2 linked regions of the Schizosaccharomyces pombe genome follow. The protein of the gene in region 2 interacts with the protein of the main gene of each other region in a biochemical or structural test. Each region holds a gene or a part of one and is shown on either strand. Other genes may lie near its edges. The genes, in order: orb6 and mob2.

Region 1 (4,875 bases), on a different chromosome or scaffold from region 2:
AATTGGTCTTTATAGAGATGCAATACATAAACATCATTTCTATAATAGTACTTGTTTTAACGTCCTTGGCTTGGTTTTTATTTAATATCTTTATAAGCGAGCATTATCCGGACAAGAATTTATATCTTGCTAGATCACAGTTTCTCCATCATTTTGGCAAAAATCCTTCATGGTGGCTTACTATGCTTTTTGTAATGGTTTGTGCTTTAACAATTGATATTGTTGCCCAAATGTTACGAAGGACTTTACGTCCTACGGACACCGACATATTTGTGGAAATGGAAAACGATGCCTTTGTCCGCTCTCGGTTTGAGCAAGAGAGCGGTGAGTTTTTACAAGCCAATGCACCATCTGTCGATGAAATTGAACAATATTTAAAAAGCCGAGATTAGGCATTTAATTCATTAATCCAATTCTAGTATATGAAACTTTCTTTAGACGATAGTCAGTTTACTGGTAAAATGTTAAAATTCTGGGGTTCCCACTGTTCAATTAGAAATTGTCTATTAGTTATGGGTCATGATCCGCATTTCATAATTATTGTTTACTATTTTGGTTGGTTTTCTTGGCGTTAACATCCTGTTGTACTTATTAATACATGTTTTTTACTCACTCTTTTTTATCTTTTCCCTAATAAAATCTATGCATTAATTTGGAATTCTTATGCAACGAATTTAATATTTACAGAAGTGCATGTAAGATTTTATCAGTAGGGACAACATTAAAAAAAAGTAATTGGTAATATTATTAGTTATGCTAAAATAATGTAAAAGAAGGTAAACATGAATTAACGATAAAAAAAATTCGATAACAATAGTTAGATGCTCAAAGGACAATGAACAAAGTAGCTATGGAGTTTCTTGCAGAAGTCTTACAATGCTCCTTTCATCGTTAAATAATTGAATTTTTTGTAAGTGTACCCAAGGAATGCCAGATTGGTTTGTTCCAACGTCTGAGGGTCAACAGAAGCAGGTTGTTGTGTGACAGGTTGTTCAGGAACTTGTTCAAGCTCATCAACAGGGAAATAATGTGTATCGGTAATAGATTTCAAATTCGGAATAAATGGAGCTGCAGTTTCTCGTATATGATCCCAATCGATTCCAGTAAAGAAAGGATGTTGCATTATTTCAATAGCACCGCCACGACCTAATCTGTGTTCTGAATCTGTCATAAGTCGGTCCATCAAATCACGAGCTTCTATGCTTAAATGTATATCATTTGGGAAAGTCAGAGTCTCACGCCAATTGATGATTTTTCGATAAGTTTCATGAGAGTTTTCACTGCAAAAGGGAGGCCATCCAATTAAGCACTCGAACATGATAGCGCCTAAACTCCACCAATCACAATCTTGACCATACCCTTGTTGCAAGAAAATTTCTGGAGCGATATAATCAGGAGTACCCACAGTGCTATAGGCCATCACCCTACGGTTCTTTTTCCAAGTAGCCATTTTGTCCTTGGAAGACATTGTAAGCCAGATAGCATCTACCATTTGACCACGTTTGACAGTATTTCCTGTGCGAGGTTTCATGTAAGAGGCACTCTGATCTTGCTTGTAAAAACCAGTGGAAAGTCCGAAATCAGAAAGTTTTATATGGCCATCCCGGTCAATCAGTATGTTATCCGGTTTTATATCCCGATGAATATAACCCATTCGATGAACATCAGCTATAGCCAAAACGCACTCAGCCATGTAGAAGCGAGTAACGTCTTCTGAAAAAGTATCATAATTTATTAGCATGGTCATCAAATCACCGCCTGGTAAAAACTCCATAATCAAGTAAAGATACAGTGAATCTTGAAAAGCATAATACAATGACACCACCCATGGGGAGTCAGATTCAACTAATAAGTCGCGTTCTGCTTTGACATGAGCCAGCTGGTCACGTTTGAACATTTCAGTTTTAAGCAAAGATTTCATGGCATAGATTTTACCCGTATCGAGTTTCTGAACCAACCGAACCTATTTAATTAGATACCAAAAACATAAACAATTATGCAAACGTACCTCGCCAAATGCACCTTTCCCAATAACTTTGATGGTAGAAAAATCTTCTAAAGAAAGCCGTGTACGACGAAATCGAAGAAATTGAGACTCTTTTTCACCAGATGCTCTTAACTGCCTATTCTTTCTCTCCTCAGAACCCCTTTCGGTTGCTAATCGTTGCTCCAAATTGATACGTCTAAAGAGAATTAGTATTTATACCTAAAAGTAAATTAAACGGAAGCTAGCATTATTAATTAACATTTTCGAAACAAGATGAGTAAGCTGTCTAAGATTTTATAAACATTCGAGATTATGCATTTACTGCAACACGCGAAGTTGAGAACGGAGAAAGAATTAATAAAAGCATCGTCTTTGATACTTATCCGATCAACGTATAAGATGGGAATACTAATTGAGGAATGTGAAACAATGCTAGAACCCTGAATAGTAATGCTACTCGTACCTTTGGTTGCGCTCTACAGCATGATCAACTGCCACCTTGTAATAATGTTCAATATATTTCTTTGTCTTTTGGACTTTGTCTAAAGTTGATTTCGGAAATAATGAAGGGTTCCGTTCAAAGTGTAAGTAATCATTCTTATCCATATTGAAAGAAATGTTGCAATAAATGGAATTTTTACACTAATTAGAATCAACTACAAGGTCAACGAATTAATTAACAAAAAGAAATTGTTAAAAGATTGAAATTCAATCGCTTAAAACATGAATTAACAAGACATGCAAAACAGAAATGAGACAGTGATAAATCGGATATGGTAAATGACAAGTCCTATTATGCTTTTTTAATTATAGGACTACTGCCAGCTAAGGTATAATCCGATAAAAATATGTTAAACTGCGATACTGGAAAAGCAAGTACTTCTGCAGTTTGTTATATAACTTCAACGATCGCTTGCGATAAGCTCCGCGCATTTCCTAACCCTCCCTGTTCAATATTACGACGCTACTAACTGAAGCCAAGAATCTTAGCTTACGAAGATTTTAGAATCTGAATTGAAATGAATAGTCAAAAAAGACGGACGGAGACATCAATTCGTTCTTCACCATAAAAATATTTGTGTAATAAAAACTAAAGGTGGTGGATCGAACTCTACAGGAATAGTTATCTATTTAATTTGGTGTTTACTCTTCATTTAATAACTTCACATTATTGAAACTCCCATTTAAATATTATAGACAAACAAGTAAACAAAAAAAGCCTAACCGATTTGTATCCAAAATGCAGCTAGCCAAAACGTTGACAATTTCACATAATTTTCAAATCTTTTTTGTGTTTATTTTTTCGAAACCTGAGAAATATTGTCTATATTAATAGGGGTATGTTTAAATGCGCGTTTGCCAGGTCCAACTCCATAACTACTTGCAACTTGACCATTTCCTCTAAGTTGGTACTTGTAAATAGTTAACCCATCAAGACCCATTGGTCCTCGAGCATGAATTTTGTTGGTGCTGATGCCAACTTCGGTACCGTAACCATAACGAAAACCATCGGCAAATCTGGTTGAAGCATTCCAATACACACCAGAAGCATCAATTCCAGCCATGAATCTGTTAGCAGCTGCTTCACTAGAAGTGATAATGCAATCCGTGTGTTTAGAACCATGTGTATTTATATGCTGCATTGCGGACTGTAAGGAAGGTACAGTCTTAATAGCAAGAATCAAATCAGAGAATTCAGTGTTGTAATCTTGATCGACAGATGGTTCAACTAGAGCACTAACTTTTGGCATATCCTTTAAAACCTTAAGAGAAGCGGGATCACATTTTAATGTAACTTTTGCTTCAGTTAAAGTTTCAGCAATTTTAGGAAGATGAGAAGATAAAACAGCTTCGTTAATTAACAAAGTTTCAATTGCATTACATGCTGCTGGATAATCAGTTTTTCCATCCAGAACAAGTTTACTAGCCAATTCCATATCAGCATCCTCATGGACGTACATGGAGCATAGTCCTGCAGCATGACCTAAAACAGGAATTTTTGTGTTATCTTTTATATGGCGTACAAGATTAGTGCTGCCGCGGGGAATAACCAAATCTATGTACTCATCCAATTTTAATAATTGTGATACCTCCTCGCGACTCTGAACAAGCTGCACAGCAGCCTGTGGAACCTTACTTTTGCCCAAGGCAGAGCGAACAACATTAGAAAGTGCAGCGAAAGACTTTGCTGATTCCGTGCCTCCTTTAAGTACAACAGCATTACCAGATTTGATAGCCAGGGAAGTAATATTAATGATTACTTCAGGTCTAGCTTCAAAAATGACTAGCAATAAACCTACAGGGCAAGAGACTTTATAAAGGTCCAAACCATCGTCAAGACTACGAGCATAAGTAACACGACCAAGGGGATCAGGCAAACTTTTAACATCTAAAACACCCTGTACCATGGAATCGTATTTATCAGATGAAGACAGATCCAATCTTTTAACCATCGATGAACTTAGTTTTCCTGATTCAGCCAAGAGCTTAGCTGCTTTCATATCTTCAGCATTTGCAGCTAGAACCTCTGACTTTTTTATGCGCAGTTCTTCAACTATTTTATCCAATGCATCATCACGGTCTTCCACTGATAATGTCTGTAAAATGTTAAAAGCGTTTTTCGCTTCCTTTACATTCTCTTCAAGAGACATGCTAAACAATACTTATACAACTTTGAGTAGAGGCAATTGGGAGATTTAAATCAAGCGAATTCTTATTCTTAGAATGGCTAGCTCAAAAAGACTACTTTTTGTAGTATTTTGGTTGTTTTTTCTAATGTATGAATAATGCAAGTTCGTGATTTATTTAACACCCTTCAAGTAACAAAATCAAGCATTGTTACTTTACATTAAGCATAACTAAGATTTCTGAAAGATACGAAATCATGG
Region 2 (4,641 bases):
TTCCGTCTGCCTCGCGCTAACGATGTTCTTGGTCTCCCCATAGGACAACATTTAAAGGTCTTTGTTGATGTTGATGGTAAGGAGTATTCCAGATCTTACACTCCTCTGTCTTCCGATGCTGACAAAGGTTATTTTGATTTGCTCGTAAAGTCTTACCCCAATGGCAAAGTGAGTAAGAAGTTTTCTGAACTTAAGATTGGTGATACCATCGGTGTTCGTGGCCCTAAGGGAAATTGGAAGCATCGCACTGGCCTCGCGCGCCATTTTGGCATGATCGCAGGCGGAACAGGTATTACTCCTATGCTTCAAATCATTCGTGCTGTTCTTTCTAATTTTGAAGATCCAACGGAAATCACTCTTTTATATGCTAATGTATCAGAGGGTGATATTGTTCTTCGTGATGAGATTGACGCACTTGCTAAGAAGGATCCTCGTTTTACCGTTCATTATGTTTTGAACAATCCTCCTGAAAACTGGAAGGGAAGTGTTGGATTTGTTACTCAAGAACTTATCAAGGCGCATTTCCCTGCTCCTTCTCCTGAAACCAAAGTTCTTATTTGTGGCCCTACTCCCATGGTTAATTCACTCAGAGAAGCTACAGTTGCATTGGGATATGAAAAGTCCCGAGCCATTTCGAAGCTTGAGGATCAAGTATTTGTCTTTTAGATTTTAATTTTGATTATTTCCCTTCCCTCGTTTCAATAATGTTCTTCGTTTTATGTTGCCAATCGACTCACTCTACTGCAATTTATCTTACTACACGGCACATGTTTTAAGTAGTTAATTATTTGACGTGACTATATGTTTACGAATAAGCTAGAGACTTTTTTATCTGCTTGGATTGAAGTTAGCAATGATACGTACACAGTCTAGTCTAGTGAAGGATCAAGCCAATGCAATCTTAAAAGAGAAATAAACAAAATTTACATTGAGATTTATTTCAGTTTAAAGGATATCCATTAGTATGCCCAAAAATTGAATTATCGTAAAGTATAAAAAGAGAGTCAGACCATAACTCGATCCTTTGAGAATGTAACGTTCAATTTAGGAAATAATTATAATCACTGTTCGTCCACAAACAATTTTTTGAATTATTTATCAGTAAGCCCAATAACCCAACAAAAGACTGAAGGGAAAAATTAAAAGTGTCGAATTTGGAAACGTCTTCAGTTCATTTGAGTAAATTGCTGCTATAAAAAAAGTGGACATTAAAACAAAAACAAATTTCAGTTGTAACAAGTTTTACTTTTTTTTAATTTGCTTATCGGTCAAGTCCAAGGTTAAGAAGGGGAGCAAGGCTGTGGACTTTAAAAAAAGAAGTTGATGGTTAGATATAGGAAAGGAGAGCATTAGCGGATTATTTTTGTTGAGAAGGATAAGATCTCTTATAATTATCAAGGAATAATGTGGAATGAGTCACATAAAATGCAAGATATAGTTAAGAAACTAAACGGACGTTGAAGATAATTTCTAAGGAATACGGCCAAAGTCTGTTTAAAAATTCCCGTGAAATCAGTGAATGCAAGCGAATATGCCAAGAGTCCAAAAGGAATAGGATGTAAAAATAAAGAAAATGGCATCAAGAAATACAAATAGTAATTAGCTAATGAAGGTGGTAACGAAAAACGAACAAAAGGAAGTGTAGGAATTTAGCATATAACTTACTGCCTGTGTAGCAGAGAGAGGATTCGAGGGAAGAGGGTATTTGTGGGAAGAGGGGGTAAAGGAAAGGACGAAAACAAAAGAGATAAATGGTAGAAAACAGAAGTGTGTCCTGCCTTCGGCAAGAATATTAAATATTTCCTTGATTTTCTAAGACAACAATAAGATCTTTTAACGGAGCAGTGTCACGTTTATCCAACAGTTGAAACTCTTTACCAAAAGCAATAAAGTGAGCAAAGAATGAATTCCAGTGGGCTTCTAAAGAGAGATGAAGGATTTCTGCATAATGAGCATAATACATATGGGCAAAAATGCGAAACATTTGTTTATATATGGCTTTAACAATAACAAGAAAATTTGAAGGAAATGGCAAGCCTGCCTTTGTAGGAAAGACGTTTTGATCATGCAATCTATTTTCAATCCAAGCGAGTACGTATTCAATATATTGGGGAGCGGGTAAATGGACGGGTTTACGGTTGTTATCCAACCAAGTATAGTCGAAACTATAATAAAAGAGTAAGTTAGTAAAGGTAGAGGTGAGAAAATAATTAACTAGAGAATCACATACTTGGCTGCAGCACTCATAACAGGACAAGTCTTTACAGTGCAAAATGTAGCAAACACGTCGTAAAAATGATTGAGGTAAGTAAACAACTCGTAGACTAAAATGAAAAGAGTTAGAAAATATATAAAGAAACAAAAAAAAACGTGAAGAAAAGCAAAGAGTTGTAACGGTTAGCACAAGACAAGTTGTTGACAGAACGGATTACGTATCCGGAAAAAAAGAAGAAATTTTTGTTGAACGATGAAAAAACAAAAATAATAATAATAATAAAAAGATTGAAATTTATGGTTTTTAAAATTTGAAGCTAGATTCCTGGGTTTCTAATTATCTCAAAGTATAATTTCCTAGTACCATCGAACGTTCACTTCAATTTCCTCCTATTCATGTCATGCAATTCAAAGAAACCTAGCAAAGTAATCCGTCAAGAATCTTCCCTCAAAGGAAAATGATGATAAAGACAGTGCTTTGGTCAAATTTAAAAACACTTGTCCAGTAACCAATACCTCCATCATTCTTCTGCTGACGCGAAACTGCAAAAAACAAAGCAACATACCATTTAAAGCAACCCATTCATCTAGGTCCACGAACCTTGGCAAAGAAACGATCGTGGAAAAATTACCCTTTACCAAATGAGTCCGAACAAATGGCTGCTGCAAATACAAAGCTGTAGGCTCTACACTCGGCGACCCCGTACGCACCAATTGCGATGTAGAACTTTTCTTGGAGAAAGAACCAGAAGAGCTACTTGCATCTGAAAGGTTTTGATGCCTTTTGGATCGATTCCCTCGAGTAATCCTACTTAATGAATTTAACAGAAACATGGCAAAGGACAGGTTATACAAAGGCCCACGCTTTGTGTTGGCTGACCCCTATAACGAGTTACTCCACTCTAGATAACGTTATGTAAGCCAATAATAAAGTTGATCCCTTCAAAAACGATATTGTTTAATATCGAACGTGTTAAGCTTCCGTATATCCGGTTTAGTAACGAGTTTCAAGAGCGGTAAATGTCAAGCAGTAAAGGGTTCCCGACTAATATAGTAAGGATCTCTCGGATGTGAAATAAGGAACGCTAGGAGCTATCGATGTCACTTGCTAGTGAAATTTTCATAACAAGAGGAGTCTTCCTTCTGATGATGGGAATGTTACTTTCCAGCGAATTCGTCTGAGGGTTCTGTAAATATTTGGTTGGGACTGGTTATCCATTATCTCATACACCACCGATGTTGCTGAAACGGAGAACTCGTTTTCTCACCGTCAGGGATTTACAAGATGAGTACGATCATGGCACAATTAGCACCCATAACGTCTATCTCTGAAAATCGCCATTCTTGAGATCATAGACAGCAAAACGATGAAAGAAAGACAATACCTCTTCTAAAGAAAAGATATTACGAGATGCGGTGGAATGCGTTATCAGTCATTTCTAAATACGGTAGAAAATGCGGGAATTGAAGGAGCGTGGATACTGTGATATTTCGGGATGCTCAAGGATTTGTATGACTGCTGTTTCATTGCTGCTTATAAAATACATTACTAATCAATTTGAGTGCAAGGGATTACCCATGTTCTTGTCTGTAGCCTTTCGTCTGCTGCGTACGAGGGCATGGCATTGCTGGGAGACTGAATGACATACATTTACTCGTAGGGGCAACTCTAATTTCAAAAAAAACGAACCGTTCGTTATAATTTATGGCATAATACGTTTTATTATGTAGTGTTTCAGTACTATGTAATAACCGTTCTCGACTTTACCCTTTGAAACCCGCAGATGGAAGCAATTTCCATTGTTTACAATACAATGAGAACCTGTAGTATTGCCTCCTTTACTTACGCTAAAAATTGATAAGCCATACAGAGGTAGGAATCGTTATTTCGTGCGATTTTTTTGGTTAAAGGGATGTAGGTTAGGGTTGAGTTTTGTGACCGTTATTTTCGTTAAGGGCAGTGATAGTCTGTACTATAGCGCAGTAAGTTTTCCCCTACACCAATCTCACAATGGCACCTGGTCTGGTTGTTGGTTTAAACAAAGGAAAGGTTTTGACCAAGCGTCAACTTCCTGAGCGTCCTTCTCGCCGTAAGGGACAATTGTCCAAGCGTACTTCTTTTGTCCGTTCTATCGTTCGTGAGGTTGCTGGATTCGCTCCCTATGAGCGTCGTGTCATGGAATTGATCCGTAACTCCCAAGACAAGCGTGCCCGCAAATTGGCCAAGAAGAGGGTATGTAAAATTTTGTTCTGTTACTGTACATGCTCGTAGAGAGCTTCAAAGCTTAGTATACTCAAATTCACTTGTGGTATTTTGAGACTCGGAGCTATGAATACTGTAATGGGATATTATGTTTTGTTATTGAATTTATTCTTATTCTAACAACTTTTTAGCTCGGTACCCTTAAGCGTGCCAAGGGAAAGATT

The links.
Region 1: the proteins of mob2 (region 2) and orb6 form a complex in vitro, tested with the Schizosaccharomyces pombe proteins (one study listed by BioGRID).

What each region holds. Positions count from the first base shown.
Region 1 is NC_003424.3:1,006,157-1,011,031, reverse strand, and holds orb6 (serine/threonine protein kinase Orb6), read right to left. Parts: upstream 2,770-4,875; 5' UTR 2,594-2,769; coding exon 2,451-2,593; intron 2,184-2,450; coding exon 2,009-2,183; intron 1,964-2,008; coding exon 872-1,963; 3' UTR 714-871; downstream 1-713. Other genes in the region: dnf1 (P-type ATPase), read left to right, coding at 1-392; gamma-glutamyl phosphate reductase Pro1, read right to left, coding at 3,283-4,638. UniProt on the Schizosaccharomyces pombe protein: Interacts with pak1/shk1 and coordinates cell morphogenesis with the cell cycle. It is essential for maintenance of cell polarity and is involved in mitotic control.
Region 2 is NC_003421.2:506,460-511,100, reverse strand, and holds mob2 (protein kinase activator Mob2), read right to left. Parts: upstream 3,059-4,641; 5' UTR 3,049-3,058; coding exon 2,781-3,048; exon of another isoform or gene 2,615-2,780; intron 2,325-2,614; coding exon 2,231-2,324; intron 2,166-2,230; coding exon 1,793-2,165; 3' UTR 767-1,792; downstream 1-766. Other genes in the region: cbr1 (cytochrome b5 reductase), read left to right, coding at 1-666; rpl3601 (60S ribosomal protein L36), read left to right, coding at 4,226-4,447, 4,609-4,641. UniProt on the Schizosaccharomyces pombe protein: Required for coordinating polarized cell growth during interphase with the onset of mitosis.